Arabidopsis thaliana: one gene and its partners. The protein of the gene in region 3 interacts with the protein of the main gene of each other region in a pairwise test. Each region holds a gene or a part of one and is shown on either strand. Other genes may lie near its edges. The genes, in order: ERF14, AT2G32020 and MYB63.

Region 1 (6,437 bases), about 29 Mb from region 3:
TACTTAAATTTAAACTTTCTTAAATCACCATTAAAAACAGTTGATTCATGAAACTTGTGAAAAACAACTCATCAGTAGTTTTCACATGGACTGACAACAGCTGTGAAAGCTTTTGGTTCAATTTTGGGAGGATTTTACTAGAATCCAATTATTTGTACAATTCAAAACTAATATGAAAAAAGAAATCTAGGCATCTCATTAATATAGTAGAATTTTGTTTCCGCATTAACAATTGACTTTGACTATAGACTACTCTTTTAAGAATGAGGTCCTGAGGATCATCATCATGCGCCACGTCGACGACTCAGGTCAACACAGCAACGGTGAGATGGATCAGCATTCAGCAGCACGTGATGCTTGGTCGGTCACGTGTGTGCGTCAGACCATCATCGATACACGTCGCTCCGAGATATGAACTCGATCTCTATAATTTTCTTTGTTTTGTTTTGATGTTCGAGATTCTATTAGTTGCATTGATCAGGATCGTCTTCTAGCCCTACGCTACACTATAAAAACATACTTAACTGGAAATAAATTACTAGAAATTCCAAAACTTATGCATTGATCCGATGGTTTTTGGTTTGGCTAAATACAAGAGATTAATATCTAACTGAGTGTTACTGTATATAATAATGTAGATCTCATAACAAGAAATTGTAAATAAATTTCAAAAGAAAATTAATTGGCTTTTAAATTTTATTATCTCAAACTAAAGGTTGACTTTTACTTTACCATTTAAAGAAACCAATCTGGGGTCAACGTTTTGAACCATTGATATGTGTGCGAGTCAAAACATCCTATAATTTAATGAGACACAATTTACAAAAAACAATTTTTTTAACTTAAATTATCTAGTTAATTAATTTCTTAAATTTTAATCAATTTTTGGTTTTATGTGTATGTCTAAGAAATAACTATGTAATCTCTGTTTTCATTTTAATAAAATAAAGCAAGATGTTACAAAAATAAAATTAATTTCTTTAGTGTAAAATTGAATAATGTGATGTAATTTGTTCTATCGTCTGTTCTGTTTCCATAATTTTTTTTATTTTTTTTGAACAACCATAAATAAATGCTGATGACAACAAAAAAAAAAGATAAAAAAATGCTTTACCAGAAAAGAGAACTGTAAAAAAAAATGCTTTCACTTGTTTCACTTTCTCTTTCTCCATTCGTTGACAGGAAAAAAAACAATTATGTTTCGCCATTCTTCCATTAGTTTTTCTAGACCCATTTTGGGCAGCTGCGTGGACCATATGTGGGTCACGAGTGAACTTGGGCTGGGCCATCATATATTCAGTGTGCAAAGATTATGTCAATCTATTAAAATGAAAATAAACTGTGTCAATTTTAAAATATATTTAAAATGAAACTAGTGTATGTCATCTTGAAAATAATAATGTGTAGCATTAATATTAACCATACATAATATTGTATGAATATCTTTGAGTTCATTAAAGTTATTTTTGTTCTCAAATTAAAAGAATGAAAGTTAAAAGGTACTTAAACTATAAATTTCTTATTTATAGTGCTAATTATAAAAATATAGTTAATAAATTCTGTTCCATTGGAACTCCGCTGTAATTGATCGAAGATTATCCAAAAAATTGGTCAACGTATTATCGATTTTGGTAAAAGAAATAGATTAACCCATAAATCCTTGATATTCTATAACCTTTAGTTAAAAGCTTCATCTATATGTTAGGGTTCTTGTTCTGAAATAAACCTTTTACTATAGATTCTATGTTATTCAATTGGTAGGTTCATGCACGAAGACATAAAAAGACTTTAGTTCTAGCTATATGTTGTCCCCAACCTCGAGAGCCCTTACTTACACTAGTCGTAATGGCGACAACAATATAGATTCTGATTCTATATCAATCGAAACCACACAATCTTCTTTTTCCCAGAGATTATTAATTTACAATAGAATAGACGTTAATTCCAATCTTCTTAAATTTAATTCTTTTTATTGTTGAATAAACGTAGATTCATCTCTCCTTTCAATTCAAGAAAGACGTCGGAAATGTATATTGAAGATAAGAAAAAAAATGAACAATTGAATAATAATAATTATTTTCAATCAGGCTCTATTTTAAATTTCTTTTTCAAATATAAAAGAATCCTTAGATTTGTTTTTTGTTTTTTGGAACAAGGAAGTTTTGAAGTACAGTAGGTTTTCGATGATATTTGTTACCGTCTACCGAGAATTTTCAACAAAATCAGTTTTCAGTTGTTGTTTTTTTGTCGCCCAGTTTTCGGTTGTTTTGGTTTGTTTGTTCATAGACTCGGTTTATCCAAAATAAAACATTAATGCGACAGTATTTTATTTTTTGGTCGCATTTATGCGACAGTTTAAGCATTTTTAAAAAAAATATACAGGCACTACAACAATTGTCATAACTTACCAAAAAAATATTTGTCGTGGACCGATTCAAAGTCAAAGGCAAGTCAGATTTAAACGACATAATAAAATCGTAATCATTATTTTAATGTGATTGAAAGGGAAAGGAACTCAGATATGATAGAAGAACAAAGAAGGAAAGGGAACTCCAAAACTTTGTTTTCTAGTCTAAAAAAAAAGACTTCGAATATGTACGGACACCTATAAGATCGAATCCAATATTAGGAGCAGCCAAAAAGGGCCAATTAGTGTATTTTAAAATATATATTTTTAAAAAGGTAACAAAAAGAAAACTTGAAGAAGTAGGTACATTGTGACCATGATGATGAATTTATGATCAACTAGGTACATTGGACATGTCGTTATCCTTATTTCAACTGACTTAACGTTAATGACTTATTAGAAAAGCCCACGTGACGATTAGGCTAATAGGTTTATAAAAGTCAATTTCGACAGAGTATAGTGTCAGTAAAATATCTGAGATTTACGGGTGAAAGATACTATTTATGGAATGTTCACTTATACGAAGTCCTTCCGTATAAGTTTCTTATTGACTGTGACATCTATTGTTATATTTATGGAACTTTAGCGATTAATTTTGTGGACCTAGCTAACTAAAGAAAGTTATATTTGTTGGCTCAACGAAGTCGTATATTTAAGTTAAAAGATTCAGATTCTAGAGTATGTAAGGTATTATAGGCTGTTGATTCTTGTTTTTCAGTTAACAACTATATACTGTAGTGTGTATAAGGCAATTACAAATTACTTGATTCTAAGCTGACTACTTTTTTTGGTTTTGTATATTTTAGAGGACTAAATGGTGTGATTATATTTAATGAAAATATGATATCTTATTAATGCTTTTAAATACAAACAAAAATGTAGATTATCGTACATGGGAAGCGTGATTTCCAAAGCATAAAATCAAATTGCGAATACCTTTTGTATTTGCGTTCACAACTTACAAACATTTCTTACTAATATAAAAACTTTTATTTGTTCAATGCATATACAAAGTTACAAACGCAACCAACATTTGATTCGATCAAATTTCTAGAGATTTCAGGTACCGTACGTTGGCAAAGATGGAGAAAGTAGTTCAAATGTCATAAAAAATTTTAGCGATTAATATTTAGCTCAATTTTTTATACGACATTTTGAAAAACAAAATCTTATATTTTCTTTTAAGGTAGAATAAGTAATGAATTTCCAGCTTTATGTAGAATATATGCATAATTTGAAAACAATTCAAGGCCGATTCAATGTACTTAGTAAACGTTTTTGTTCTTCTTCGTTAGTGGTATGTTCGTAAACTTGATGTTAAGAAAAGTTAATTGATCTAATCTACTGCAAATTATTCAATAAAAATTAATTGATGTGAAAATATATCTAGAAGGAAAAAATTCTCCAAAATGTAAAGTCATGTCAAGAACTTAGACCCCCACACGTAGATTCTGTATTAAACAAAAAATTTATTATGGTCCAACGAAAGCTTCTGAGTCGGTTTTGAGAGTCAACCCACGTGGGCACTAACGAAGTCCCAAGTCAAACATATTCCTATGGGTCCTCCAATCAACTCTTTTATTCAGTACACATCATATTTTTGGTAACATAAAATTCCATTGCTGTTGCCAAAAAATACCATACAAATATAGTTTTCTATAATAATTAGTTCAAGAGACTGTCTAATTTTATCATAAATTTCCTACTTTTTGCAAAAGTTCAACTTGAGTTAAACCTTATAAGCTCTATTTAGATATAAATATTTAATAATTTAGATATAATGTAAAATATAAACGCAAAATATAATAATTTCAAGGATATAACAAAAAATTGTTTTATATTTTTGTTGCACATGATTCTTACCATATTATTAATGTTGTACATTTCCGAAACCCCATACATGTATATTATTATAGCCATAAAAAATTGTACATATATGTAAAATACAAAATTCTCAAAATAAAATCTATTATAAAAAAATGAAAAAAGAAAAAGAAAAAGAAAATTTATTTTATGAGAAACATCTATGTTGAAGGAGAAAAAAGGTCTAAAGAACATCTACATAATTTTCATAAGTGGAGTTTTTCGAACTTCGAATATTAGGTTGATGGACCCACTTGTTTCCTTGCCTATAAATTCCACAAATCAAATCTCATTTAATCCATGCAAAATTAAAACACACACAAAGACAAAAAAAAAAAAACAGACGCTACATCTTGTGTCCGTTTCCAACTCTTAGAACATCCAATTCTTCTTATTATTCTTTGTCACTTGGTCTCTCTTCTGACGCACAACAGTATATACACATACACAGATATATGGATCAAGGAGGTCGTAGCAGTGGTAGTGGAGGAGGAGGAGCCGAGCAAGGGAAGTACCGTGGAGTAAGGAGACGACCTTGGGGTAAATACGCCGCGGAAATAAGAGATTCGAGGAAGCACGGAGAGCGTGTGTGGCTAGGGACATTCGACACTGCGGAAGACGCGGCTCGAGCCTATGACCGAGCCGCCTATTCAATGAGAGGCAAAGCTGCCATTCTCAACTTCCCTCACGAGTATAACATGGGAACCGGATCCTCATCCACTGCGGCTAATTCTTCTTCCTCGTCGCAGCAAGTTTTTGAGTTTGAGTACTTGGACGATAGCGTTTTGGATGAACTTCTTGAATATGGAGAGAACTATAACAAGACTCATAATATCAACATGGGCAAGAGGCAATAAAGGGAATACAATCGGTATTAACTGAAAGTTATGTGAAAGACCATTTTCAGTTATAACAAATAAAATAAAATCCCAAGCGTACAAAGCTGTTTCAATTATTGGCATGAAGTGTAATTGTCAATCGATTTCTGTAACGAATAAGATTCTTTAAGCGGGTCATCTTAGTTTCTTGAACTTCAAAGTTCAAACGGTTCCTTGTGCAATTAGTTTTGAGAAAATATTAATGAAAATAATGATTATGTGAAACATATTCTTTTATGTTTTGTGACGTGTAATTATGATTTGATATATTTGTTACCTTCTTGTGATTCATCTAAACGAGCTTAAACGTTTTAAAATAAATCAAAGTAAATTTATAAGATATCAATATAACCTATTACATCGCTCTAATTAATATAACTACCAGCATGTACAAGTACATTGTGTTATACGTTTGAAATATGGAATTCATCTTACCATTGCTTGTTATTGCTCTTCCATTCATGAATTATACTGGAAAGGCATATGTAGACGCATATATACATGTACATTTTGAAAATAGTTTTTATAAGCAACTGATGAGTTTAGTAACTTGTGGGGACAATAATTCATTGAGTTGATAGATGAGTTTTTAAAGACAAAATATAAATACGTGGAGAAAGAAAATCACCCACACCACACGGCCATGAAGATGAGATGAGAGACTTCGGCGTTAATTCCATGCTTCTATCAGGAATCAGGATCACCATAGAAGCTAGAACCATATACTTTAAAGGCATTAATTTTTGTTTTCCGTCCCAAGATAAAAATATTAATATAACAAAAAAAAACATTTTAGTTGGAAAATTATATAGAAGTTTTTAATTAAAATTAAAATGATAAAATACAATTTAATAAAAATATAGTAAAAAAAAACATAGTTTACATACAAACATGAATAAATAAATTTGGTTCAGTTGCACTAACTTTTAACTTAAAATAATGCGGGCTCGGCTTATAACACAGAAACCCTTTTCGTCCCCACCAATCTTTTCTTTGATTGCTTCAATGGTGTCGTAGCTTCTGGGCCCACCGGCGGTTAGCCACCGTCAGTCAAACCTTCTAGTCTAATCACCTGAAACCCCTTCTCGCCGCCGCCGATAGGTCATAGGTCAAATCGGAGAACCGTGTTGACCCTGAGTCTCGTCGAGGTATGTAATTGTTTCGACGAGTGCGTTTTTGCTTGTTCTTGAATCATTACGAAACCCTAGGGGAATATATTAAAGCCTTAGACAGGTACTAATCTGATGCTCTGACTAGTTACAATTCGATCAAATTTCTTGATAAAGATT
Region 2 (6,568 bases), on a different chromosome or scaffold from region 3:
TACGAGGGGGAGGCTGTGTTCTAATACTAGAAGTAGTATCTCTGTCTCCTTCTACATCTGTATTCGATGTATCTCCTTCAGCTACACCTATTCATATACACACATTTCTGAGGATTCAGTTAATGGAGCTTCGATACTTGCAAAACCTAATCCCAAATGCCAATTTCTGAGGATTCTGTTGCTTTAAGAACTTACTGATTCGAGAATCTAAAAGCAGGCTTTCCTCAGAATCCCGCCGGCGAGGAAGCTCCGGGATTGAAACTATGGAGGACATATCTCTATCAGGAGGTCTCTTACGAATCTTCCGGCGTGATAGTCGGTGAGATCGAGCGGCGATAGCAAGGCGTCGTCTCTCGTTGTTGATGGATGGCAAAACTGTAAATTGAGAAGGTGAGATTGAGATAGAGAAAAGAGAGCGACTCGCCATTTTAATATTCGTTCTTTTTTTTTTCTTTCTTTTCTTTAAATAAACAACACTCCGTCTCTTGCGCTACGTAGATAAATTAATTTTTCTTCGTCTTTTTTTTCGATTGATAAATTAATTTTTGATTTTTCTCATGAACTATATTAGCAGCTTATTAAATTTTTATTGACAAAATATGTATTGAACCTTATATTTTAAATAATTTTGAGTTTTAATGTCTTTTTATGTGATTTATTGTAAAAAAAAAAAATCAAATTCCAGTAAAAATATGAGATTTGAATTTTTATATATGTAACTAAATAAATCTTTTTAAATTTTCTCAAATCCTTTAAAATTAATAAAGAGGTGTATTAGATCTAAGTGTGTCAAAATGGGTAACACAACTCAACTCAACTCATAATCAAATGAGTTTAGGGTTAAATGAGTTATGGGTTGATCCAACTCATTTTGTTAAATGGGTTAAGTCAACCCATAACTCATTTAATTTAATGGGTTGAGTTGTTAAATGGGTTAACCCATTTAAGTAATAATTTAATTAATTATTATTATAAAATAATAATAAATAATTATCATTATTAATTCATTATCATCAAAACTTAATATATTTACGGATTCCACTTTTTACGGGTTTACGTTTTTGGCGGGAAAATCTCGGGTTTACGTTTTTGGCGGGAAAATCATGGATTTACGTTTTTGGCGGGAAAATCACGGATTTACGTTTTTGGCGGAAAAATTACGGGTTTACTTTTTCTCAATTTCATCGCTTGTATATTTAAGAAATTTGGAAAAATATTAATTTTATTAAATTGGTTTAGATGTGTTGGTTAGACTTAAATTGGCATTGGTTTAGAGATTTTAGTTGGTTTAATTCAATTTTACAAAATTTGATGGGTTAATTGGATAAACCATTGAAACCATTAACCATTACAACCCAACTCATTTTACTCATCAAACCAATTGACTCATCAACTCATTTGACTCATCAACTCATTTGAGTCAAAATTTTCAACTCATTAGGGTTCATGGATTGAGTTGAGTTGAGTTGAGTTGACTCATTAATTTGGACCTTACAATTTGAGTTTTAGCTAGTTTTTATATGAGTTTGATGATTTTAGGAAAATTGATGTGATTTATTATAAAATATTTTAAAATTCTATATAAGACCATGAATTTCGATTTTGTTATTTTTAACTAAAGAACTTTCTCAAATCCTTCAAAATTAATAAGAATCAAATCTACCAATTATTTTCAATAACAATAGATTTTAAGATAGAATTTTAAATCTTTAGTTCAATAATACTAGATTTCATTAAAGTTTTTCAAATCCATAATCGAACAACATAGAATTTATAAATTTTACACAAATCACTTAAAATATTAGATTGAATACATTCTTATAAAAATCAAATCCATAAATTATTTTTAATAACAGTGAATTTAAAGGTAGATTTTTAAATTATTATTTTAATAACACTAGATTTCATTAGAATTTTCAAAATCCATAATTAAATAACATATACTTGTAAAATTTACGAAAGTCACTTTAAATACTAGATTGAATATACCTCTTTTAAATCAAAAACGATGAATGGATGGTAAATATACGGTTCACCCATACCCATTATAAACCGTCTTTTTCACACCTTCCATTCAACAAGAACTAATTGTTGCGTATTTGACCGATCGAAGCAAGAAGGAACGTTCTGTTTATTTTCTTTTTTGTTAAAAAAAAATCAGTATTTAAATCGTGATTTGTAGAAGAAGTATTATCATAATGCCTCTACACAAATCTGTAAGAATTGAGAGAGATAATTTATTTTAAAGAATCCCAAAGAAGCTTCAAAGACTCAAAAAGGAAAGTAACCAAGAAAAAGTCAATGGAGATGGACTCAACTACTACGATCAAACCGGAGACCCTATCCACCGTGAGTTCCTCACCTCCGGAGAAAATCCATCTCCGGCCAATGACTCTTTCCGACGTCGACGATTTCATGGTTTGGGCCACTGACTCAAACGTCACACGCTTTTGCACGTGGGAGCCTTACACTAGCCGAGAAGCCGCGATCGCGTACTTAAACGACGCTCTTTTGCCACACCCTTGGCTTAGAGCTATATGCTTAGATAACGACCGTCCGATTGGCTCGATCTCCGTAACGCCAGTCGATGAGATCAGAGGAGAGATTGGTTATGTCCTCGGAAGCAAGTATTGGGGGAAAGGGATCGCCACTGAAGCGGTGAGGCTTGTGGCGGGGGAGATATTCAAGGAGAAGCCAGAGATGCAGAGGCTTGAGGCACTTGTTGACGTTGACAATGTTGGATCTCAAAAGGTTCTTGAAAAAGTTGGGTTTGTGAAAGAAGGTGTGATGAGGAAATTTATGTATCTTAAAGGAAATGTTAGAGATATGGTCATGTTTAGTTTCTTGCCTTCTGATTCGTTGCACTGATCTGATTTGAATTAACAAATATCAAATATATATATTAAGTTTGTTTGATGTCGAAATTTATATTTTGCTTAGTTTGTAAAAATCACATGTATAATTTGATGTGATGCTCTATCTTTCTTCTTCTTATGTAATTGTTAGTTGTAACCTTATATATTAACTATTTCATACAAAAGTTATTTTTTATAATTTGAGAGTAATGTATTTACTATTTACCATGTTCACTTCACCAAATAAAACAAAGCTTCACTATCTCAGAAAAAATGTAAGTTTATATTGAAAATTAAAAGTACAAAATGAAACATGATATATATATATATATTTTCTTTTTGAATCTAAACATGAAATATTTTATACAATAAAAAGATAGTGTGATAGCTAGTTTTACAGCGATAGATGAATGGAATTCTGATAACATTCGATTAATTAATCTTTAGCTAAATTACTTAATCATACAACATGTTGAGTGACTTGATTCTTGAGTTGATTTTGACAGTATATAACAAACGATTACGATCATTTGCACCACAAATATTAACAGTATTAAAATATTTAATCCATTTAGAATAACTTGAGAAACAGTTAAATCCTTTTTGGGAATCAGACCACACACGATTTGACACGTGGCATTGTGGGCATCCAACTGGAAGCAACACATTAAGTTCCGAAACCAGAACAATACTTTGTTTGGCAACCAAGTAAGTGTCGAAAGTCCAAGGTCAAATATAGACAATTATCCACTCACACGATGACACCTCATCTTATGTCGTATATTTAACACTAAATACACTTATCTATAGCAAATGGTAATATTTAGTGTTTTTTTAGTCAAAAGCAATAAGGGAGAATCTCAAAGTTTTTCAAGATCGCGATGTGTATAAAGACATCGCTTAGACGTAGTGATATGATATCTAAAACAATCACTAATCCTAAATGGAGATGGACTCAGAAGAAACTAATCCAATAATGAGCTCTTCGCCTCCGGGAAGAATATCTCTCCGGCCGATGACTCTTTCCGACGTCGATGACTACATGGTTTGGGCCACAGATCCTAAAGTGGCTCGATTTTGCACTTGGGAGCCTTGCACGAGCCGAGACGAAGCTATCAAATACATAACCGATCGTGTCCTGACACACCCTTGGCTCCGAGCCATCTGCTTAGAAGACGACCGTCCAATCGGCTACATCTTGATCATGGCGGTTGATAACATCAGAAAAGAGATTGGTTATGTCCTAGCGAGAAAGTATTGGGGAAAAGGGTTTGCCACGGAAGCAGTGAGGCTAGTGACCGCGGAGGTATTCGAGGAATTTCCAGAGATTGAAAGGCTTGAGGCACTTGTTGATGTGGACAATGTTGGATCTCAAAGGGTTCTTGAAAAAGTTGGGTTTACTAGAGAAGGTGTGATGAGGAAGTTTATATGTATCAAGGGAAGTGTAAGAGACACTGTTATGTTTAGTTTCTTGTCTACTGATACTTTGAAGTAATTAATCAACAAAAAGATTAATTAGCAATTCTACATATATATGTTGGATTTAGTGTATGATTCATATACGTAATACATGATGTAAACACTCTGTTTTTCATTTGCCAAAAAAATCTATAAATCCTACATTGTAAATTACGAAACAATTAAAGTCAGTGCATGAGACAGAAGTGAGGTTAGAGGGATCATCCGATTACAAATTGATAGGTAGAGAAGAGTTTTAAAAATCAAAGGTTAATAGAAGCGTATAAACGAATAATGTAGAATGTAAATAAAACAATGGGATTCGTCCTGTATCCATAAAAAGGTTCACATACTCATCCAACAAGCAAAAGAAAAAAAAAGCAAAACATCCCATGGTCCTTGGGATGAGAACTTAAGAGCCAGACCAGCTTTGTTAAAATAACACAGGATATTAAAAGTATTTGTAAAATTTGAATTATGAATTTATGTAATTCAACAAATTTACTATAAGTAGTACGTAATTAATTTATTATGATTTCTCCATATTTCTTAAATTAAAGTAAACAATCTTTAGATTCCCCTGAGTTTCTTCTTCTTGTTGGAAAAATGAAGTTTACTCGTGCGTAATTCGTTAAGAGAGAAGCCCATGTGGCCCAAATTTAGGGCCCGTGTAGTGGAGGTTTCGTTATAAAGAATCTAGTGAGAAGTGAAGTGAGCAATTTCTTTTCTTTTTTTTTTGTTATGAAGAAAATAATCTGGAAATAAGAAATTACAAGAAAAAATGGATTTTTTTGGGTAAAAAAAAGAAGAAGAAATCAATCATCACTGTGCTTGTGTGAGGCTAATTTCGTTTCCCACTTTCAAAGGACTAAATATATTACTAATACAATTTATTTTAACTTCTGTGGTAGAACTAAAATATATTTGGCCTATAGATACACATGCATATCAAAAAAAGTTATTTTTAGGTTATGTGAATAAAGACTCCACTCCGTTCAATATGTCTGACCAGTCAGTCCATATAGGATATACGCATATAGTATGAAACAATTTATTAGTATTTGAAATCACTATGTAAGTATGTGATATTTTCTGTTAACCAACAAAAAAATTAGATTCATTTACTAACTAGCTCACTAAACATATGTTTTTAGGAATTAAAAATAATCTTAGCTCCAAAATTCGATAAGACTATATAGATATTTTACCTTTAAATAGGTACAAATTTGGAATGAACCGCAACATTTATCGAATTAGATAAAATATCAGAATGTCCACTCCTGTAAATCATAGCTGATGGACTTTAATTTTAATAGGATTGGAGTAATAGTTAAAGGTATTTAAGTAAATCATTTCGATATACACTTCTTGTTCTGGACCACATATTCCATTCCATTTTTATTTATTTGTTAATGTTAGGTAAAAATAGGGGTTTTCATGAAAAAAAAAATAGAGCTGATCATTGTCTCACTTCACATTGTACAAGAATGTTTTTATTTTATTTTTAATTTGGGTTTAAAATAAATAACCCAAAAAAAAAGGGAATTTAGAAGTGTTGTTGTAATCACGAAAGCTGAAACAAGAGAAAGCATGAGCAAATAGGAAAAAGAGAAAAGCATGAGATTACACAATACACTCTCTGCACTTTCATACTCTTTTTCAATCATTTCATTCTACATTCACATCTTTACACTATTCTCTCTCTTACCTTTAATATTTCAAAACATAATATACAAATTTCATCTGATTAAATTACAGCTTATATACTCAAACTAATGATTGAAAATTATTAAACCTTTTGCACGCAGTGCTACAAAAAATAATGCAAAGGTATTTGAATGTTGATATTTTGACTAATTGCTTACAATTATAACTCTTTATGAGATTGCAGAAAAAATAAAACTAATCATTGAATTTCTGTATTCCAATACATAGAATCAGAGAATGAGTGAGCTTCGAGGTTATCAAGAAGCCCTAACTTTTTCAGTACAAAGATCATCACAAGACGTTATCTTTTTATTCTTTTCACTTTTCCTTTGTAAGAAAACTATCATAATGAATGAAATAATTGCTTTTGCTGTATAGTATTTTTGTTACACTTATTAAACGGCTAAATCTTACTTATACAACAAGCATTACACTATCATTGTCTCGGGAACACACTTCAATTTACAATAATAATATTATCAAAAACTATCCCTAAAAAGACTGATGAAGAACTAAAAAAAACCTTCCATCTGTCAGTTTAATAATCC
Region 3 (6,913 bases):
CAGTGAGACTGGTCTTGGGGTTTCAATGCATTTAAATGGAATATTGGTGTGGTTATTAAATTCAAAATTAAATGATATATTAAAATTTTAAATGCATATAATAAACCTTAAATTCCCAGGCCATTACTCATTCTGCAGTCGATTTTCTGTTTTATTTTTCAAAATTTTAGTTGATGTGAAGAATTTAATGCATGTTTTATCAAAAATGTATGATAAATATATTTGTGGACATCCGAGTTTTACACAAAAACGTCAAATTTGAATATCCAAAATAGATGATCGGATATAATGTTAAAATACGATACCAATATCAAGTATTTATTTTTGGTTAGCAAAAAAAAAGATCAAGTATTTTCAGTTATTAGTTCATTCTAATTTTAAAAGTTAAAACTAACGTTTTCAATTAGACAGGCCCGTTTCTACCAAAATTAAAAGAATTAAAAAATAGACAGGCCCGTTTATAGTATTTTTAGCCCAGTATCTACGAAATCCGGCCCAACTACATCTTCCCGCATGTTATCGTCCCTTTTAAACTGGTGCATGAGATGTTTATGTACTCCATTTTCGAAAATAAACAACTCTAATATGGAGAGAAATGAGAGGTCTTTATTAAATATCACGTTAACGAGTTGTGTCATGTAATAATTACTGACGGTTACTATATCGAATAATTACCTAATTATCGGGTAATAAATTAAATACCAAAATATTAACCATTATATGGTCCATATACAGTGATCTAGTAGTTGAATAATTGCTTACGTTCAAATCTTAATTATGGTTGACCGTATATAATAATATTTTATATGGTATTCGCATGCTTTGGAGATTAATATAAAGATATTCTGATTACTAAAAAAAAAAACCTAAAATATTAACCAACACATTTCTGTTGAAATAGATCCCATAACAAATACATGTGCGTCATGCATGCGTAATCATTGATTTTATCTGCTTACCTTTTGAGTTTTTTGGGTCATGAATCTCATGATTTATCTATGTTTGAATATTATGGCGTTATTTTATTTAATTTGGAAATGTTAGCACTGTGCTTGGACCTAATGAGTGTGATTAGTTAGGTGATCAGGAAAAAAGTAACCATCACTGTTAAGCAAATGTCCTACCAACCCAACCCAAGGATGGATAATATTGTTTGAGATCTCTATTTTTTTCAAGATTAGGTGTCTTATTTGGTCTCTTGGAAAAATCTTGTTTAGGTGATTATCAGATCATTTTAATTATGATTTAATTGTATTTCCCTTTTAAAACTTACTTACAAAAATCAAAATTACTTGTTTTCGTTAGTATATCTAGTCATGAATTCTAAACTTCTAGCATTTTTGAAAGATTGGACTCTTTTATGGGTAAATCTTTGGCGCATGAGTTGTTTTCTAAATCGAGAATTTGTTTTTATTAGATAAGGTGTTATATCTCCTAAACAATAATACAATAACAAACGCAAAAAGCGAAGCATATTTATGTATATATAGTCTTATATAAATAGTTGATATATATTAATATGTGTCCCTATTATGATCACACAAAACATACACATGCAGAGCTTTATTCCAATAGCTAAAATCTGAACTTTAAAGTCAGTACACTCGAAATTGATATTGACGTATGTATTACTAATAGCAACATGTGTTCTTTCATCATAAGTTTACATAATTTTTTAATTTTATTCTACTTAATTAATGTCACAGTTTCCATCGTTTTGATAAGGTCCATACTCCATAGGGACGTTGAAAATTTAATTTAATTTTTTCCACTCATAGTTGTCCTTTTTTTCTTAGTAAAGTTTGGGAAAGTTTTCCCACTCATACTTGTTTGTTCACCAACCTTCTGATTACCAAGAGTCGTATAAAAATGCAAAACTAATAGATCGTCATTTATATATGTTGCTCCTATAGACTTTTATCGACAAAATTTTCCGAATTAATCATTTTGTAACTTCAATACATATACGTCCAGATATTTACCCTAGTGAAAAATATTTCTTCTTTTTCAAACCTCTTTTCCTCTCTATTCCTCCTAAGAGCTTGTTAACGTAACAAAATTGTTGGGTTTATTAACTTCAATTATTGTCGATACTTAGTACTTTAAAATATTTGGAGTAATAGATGTAGTGATGGCTGTGTCGTAATTGCTTGAATAATTTTGGATGGGTACAGAGGAATTAATTAAGTAATGAAGGTTTGGTGGAATTAAGTAATTAACGTAGCCAAGAGCCAACAACAACACCAAACCCACCAAACATTAAAAAAGTCAAAAAGACGTAAGTCTTTGACCTCTTCCACTCTCTTTGGTCTTTAGTTTGGTGAGTTCGTGCACTATGCTCACACACACTCCTTACGCCTTTTGGTGTTTTCGGATGTGATTAGAAATGACTTTTTAACAGTTTTTTTTTTTTTCTGTCTCTCATTTTAATGTTATATTTAAGGATTATATATATTTCTGCTTTTTTGTATACAAAATATGAAAATATTCCATGGAGTGACGTATGGAGTGACTGCGTACTTAGTAAAACAGCATTATTAGTGAGAGTTCATTTTTCTCGTGTTACACTGTATCTACATGATGATCACGGGACTATCTATTATTCAAAAGTTGGTAATTATACACTGAGCCTGATTACAGAAGACTCGCAGACAAAAACTAATATAATCAATTCCTCCTATGTATACCTTAAGCTAATTCTTAATTAACAAGTTGCAGATTTACAATCTTATTTTAGTCAAAACACTACCTAATATTTTGCCACTTTATAACTATATATTCTTACTCCTCCAAAGTATTTTTATTAAGAAATACATAAAACTCTTATCATTACCGCTGTAAATTCCTAAGACCATTTCAATTAACACTCGTCGACATGTAGTAGTTTCTTACATTAGCGAAATTTATTTCAGACAATTTTATAAGATATGTCAAATCTGATAATATTTTTAACACGAGATGCTAGTTTCCATTATTACTTGATGTCAAAAAAGAAGAAAATATTATTTAAGGATTTTGGTTTCTAAAAACGAATGTGAAATATTCATGCATCGGTGTTAGAAGGAAAGATAAGTTGCATGCATCATAAGGATGCCAAATGAAGTAAAAATGAGAAAATGGAATCATACCAAATAATCAACCATACCACAGACAGACAACCTTTTCCCACTCAACAAATCTGATTTGACATTTATCAATTCCTCTGTTTACATATTCATCTTTTCTCATGTCAAGATCACACACTCTTACCTCTCATATATATAAAACAGAACCAAATTATCTTTGGTAAAAGTGAATCTCATCAGGAACTGAGTGATATAAAGTTATATATATAGAGGAGAGAGGGAGTGAGAGGGAGTGAGAGAGAGAGAATGGGGAAGGGAAGAGCACCTTGTTGTGACAAGACCAAAGTGAAGAGAGGTCCATGGAGCCCAGAAGAAGACATTAAACTCATCTCTTTCATTCAAAAGTTTGGTCATGAGAACTGGAGATCTCTCCCCAAACAATCTGGTATGTCATTGCTTTTGTCATCACAATCAAAGCAAAAGCCTCTTCAATTGTTTTTTCTTTTCTTTATGATTCTGAATGTATATATATGCAAAAATGAAGGGCTATTGAGGTGTGGGAAGAGTTGTCGTCTAAGGTGGATTAACTATCTTAGGCCAGATCTGAAGCGTGGCAACTTCACTTCAGAGGAGGAAGAAACAATCATTAAGCTTCACCACAACTATGGGAACAAGTAAATCATCAGCTAGGATTATTATTGTGCTCATACATATATGGTGGATCAAAAAAGTGATTTGATATTGACATTAAGCTTTCTGCATTTTGATCAGGTGGTCGAAAATCGCTTCTCAACTTCCAGGTAGAACAGATAACGAGATCAAGAATGTGTGGCACACTCATCTAAAGAAAAGACTGGCTCAGAGCTCAGGAACTGCAGATGAACCGGCCTCGCCTTGTTCGAGTGATTCTGTTTCTCGTGGGAAAGATGATAAGTCATCTCACGTAGAAGATTCTTTGAACAGAGAGACTAATCATAGGAATGAGTTGTCTACATCTATGTCTTCTGGGGGTTCCAACCAACAAGATGATCCAAAGATAGACGAACTCAGGTTTGAGTATATAGAAGAAGCTTATAGCGAGTTTAACGACATTATTATTCAAGAGGTAGACAAACCCGATCTGCTGGAGATACCATTTGATTCAGATCCTGACATTTGGAGTTTCTTAGATACTTCAAACTCATTTCAACAATCCACTGCAAATGAGAACAGCTCAGGCTCAAGAGCAACAACAGAAGAAGAGTCTGATGAGGATGAGGTTAAGAAATGGTTCAAGCACCTAGAAAGCGAACTCGGGTTAGAAGAAGACGATAATCAACAACAATACAAAGAAGAAGAATCATCATCATCATCACTCTTGAAGAACTACGAGCTCATGATACATTGATAAAAGATATTTATTTTGGATATCAATATGACAATATGTATGATGGAAAGGTAGAGAGATAGTAGAGAAAATGTATTTCCTATAGTTTTTTAATTGGCATTATTTTTAGTAGCCTGTAGATAAAACAGAGCTGGTCAAAAGATGCACACTATACTAAAAGTCTAAAACTATATATCTGGAAGATTCTTTCTTTAGTCTTAGAGAATCTTGAAGAAAATTATTGAAGAATATTTGGTAGGATTAGTTTAGTAATCTCAATCATCTAACAACCATCTTGAAACTGGAAACGACAAAACATGAAGACCAGTTACTCTTGTTTGGAGATATATTAACCTCAACAGCTATTTTTTTTGCTGAAGAAGAAGTAACAATAACTATGAACTTATCAACGAATTAAGGCAAGCAACTGAATTAGAAGAAGCTAATCTCAACAATGTTGCATCTCCGAATGTTTTCTTGAATTTCATTGGAGATAGACAAAAAGTTGGAAGCTTAATATAGATAGATCTCAGTTTTGTCTTCCATGGCTTCTGATAAATCTTAGTTTTCTTGAAATTGAAGAAATATTATATGATCTTGATAAGAATATATAGGTAACTTGAAGAAGAAATTAACTTCTACTTTCAACTTCTTTATCACTGGTTCAAGTGAAGGAAAATTGAGTCAAATTGGGTTGGGATACCCATTTTAACACTCCGGTTTATAGTTTGAAAGTTTAAACCGATTGGTTTAATTTGATTCGAAAGAATCTGGTTCTTATAACTATTAAATATAATGTCGGTTCATTTGTACGATACTTTACAAAATATGAGGTTTCGTTTGCAATTCTATATAGATTATCAGGTTTATTTTGCATTTATTCCTAAAACCCTAAAGGGGAAATCTTCCCGGTCTTTATTCGAGACGACGACGACCTATAAAGGCCAATAGCAATGGATCGGGTCAATTAATCTCGGGTCGGGTCATTTCTTTTTCAATTTCGCGGTTCTATCTCTCTCTGTTTGCTGACTCGAGATTTTCGAGTTTGGTGGGATAATTGATCGGATTCAATGGACAAGTCCGTCGTAATACGCCGTGAAACCAATGGAGACGACGTTGAGGGAGACCCGGAAAGAGAAGCTGTCTTCGCACAACTGAAAGTTCTCTGCTTGGAGCTTCTAAACCTTTCGCAAAACCCTGAAAAGGATCCAACCACGATCCCTGCTTTGCTCCTTCTCCTCCGCCGTACTCCTCCGTCCTCTCTCCAGTCCTTCTTCCAGTAATTATTCCACTTTTCTCGTTTCTCTTTATCTTTTTACTTCTTTCTGCTGAAAAAACGGTAATCTGCACATGAGTAGCAGTTTCAATTATAAGGTTTAAAAGAGTTCATTTGTGGTGTATTGTCGACTGTTTACTTAGTGAGAACTGTTTTGGTTTATGTACGTTTCAGCTACACTTTGTTCCCATTGCTTCTTCTGTTAGACGCCGCAGTTGCTTGCAGAAGTCAGGGGCAAAACAAGCCAGAGGAATTTCCACAAACACCATATAGAGTGAGTGATAAAGTAGCAGAAGGTGTAATCTCTTGTCTCGAAGAACTTCTAAAAAAATGTCACATTGGATCCATAGATCAGGTGAGCTGGTTTTGAACTCTCACAATCGTTTTTATGATTGTTTTCTACCTTTACTCGATTTGGGTAACATATTCTCAGCTTAGTTATGGAACTGTGTTGAATTTTTTCCCCGTACAGATGGTTGTAATTATGAAGAAGTTAACTAGTGGTGCTGTTTTATCACCATCTGAGGCTTCTGAAGAGTTTCGTGAAGGGATAGTCAAATGTTTCCGAGCAATGATCTCTGGTCTGCTTCCATGCTCTGATGATTCTTGCTCTTGTAAGCGCACTGTTGGCTGGCCTCAGCTGTCAGATAGAAGAGATTATCAAACTCAAGTTTCAGAGTCTTATAAGTATGATTTTGAAACTCGTGAATGCTTGCTTGCATTTCTTCAGTCTCAGTCTGCTTTGGCTGCTGTCGGTCATTGGCTTTCCATTCTTCTCAAAGTAACCCTCTTTTCTCCTATGCTTTCTTTTTTCTTTCATCTGGAGTCATGTAGTTTTATACATTCTAAGGTATTTCAATTCTGATCACTCCACAAGGTCGCTGATGCTGAGGCTTCTCGAGGACATCGAGGAAGTGCAAATCTTCGAGTTGAAGCCTTTATGGCTTTACGGATACTTGTGGCTAAGGTAACTTTTAAATTATGCATATATGGTTTGGACCATTTCTGGCACCCATGGGTCCTAATGAGAACATGTTTCTTGTTGCAGATTGGTACTGCTGATGTGTTGGCGTTTTTTCTACCTGGTGTTGTTAGCCAAGTTTTCAAAGTGTTGCATGTTTCGAGAGCAATGATAAGCGGAGCTGCAGGAAGTGTTGATGCATTGGACCAAGCAATTAGAGGGTTAGCTGAGTTTCTTATGATCGT

The links.
Region 1: the proteins of MYB63 (region 3) and ERF14 interact in a two-hybrid assay, tested with the Arabidopsis thaliana proteins (one large-scale study listed by BioGRID).
Region 2: the proteins of MYB63 (region 3) and AT2G32020 interact in a two-hybrid assay, tested with the Arabidopsis thaliana proteins (one large-scale study listed by BioGRID).

The regions. Positions count from the first base shown.
Region 1 is NC_003070.9:1,170,452-1,176,888, forward strand, and holds ERF14 (Ethylene-responsive element binding factor 14), read left to right. Parts: upstream 1-4,581; 5' UTR 4,582-4,725; coding exon 4,726-5,127; 3' UTR 5,128-5,317; downstream 5,318-6,437.
Region 2 is NC_003071.7:13,628,975-13,635,542, reverse strand, and holds AT2G32020 (Acyl-CoA N-acyltransferases (NAT) superfamily protein), read left to right. Parts: upstream 1-3,613; 5' UTR 3,614-3,798; coding exon 3,799-4,350; 3' UTR 4,351-4,563; downstream 4,564-6,568. Other genes in the region: AT2G32040 (Major facilitator superfamily protein), read right to left, coding at 1-87, 196-427; AT2G32030 (Acyl-CoA N-acyltransferases (NAT) superfamily protein), read left to right, coding at 2,302-2,868.
Region 3 is NC_003070.9:29,783,138-29,790,050, forward strand, and holds MYB63 (myb domain protein 63), read left to right. Parts: upstream 1-3,357; 5' UTR 3,358-3,371; coding exon 3,372-3,739; intron 3,740-3,836; coding exon 3,837-4,452; 3' UTR 4,453-4,665; downstream 4,666-6,913. Other genes in the region: AT1G79190 (ARM repeat superfamily protein), read left to right, coding at 5,502-5,710, 5,882-6,062, 6,180-6,488, 6,585-6,674, 6,756-6,913.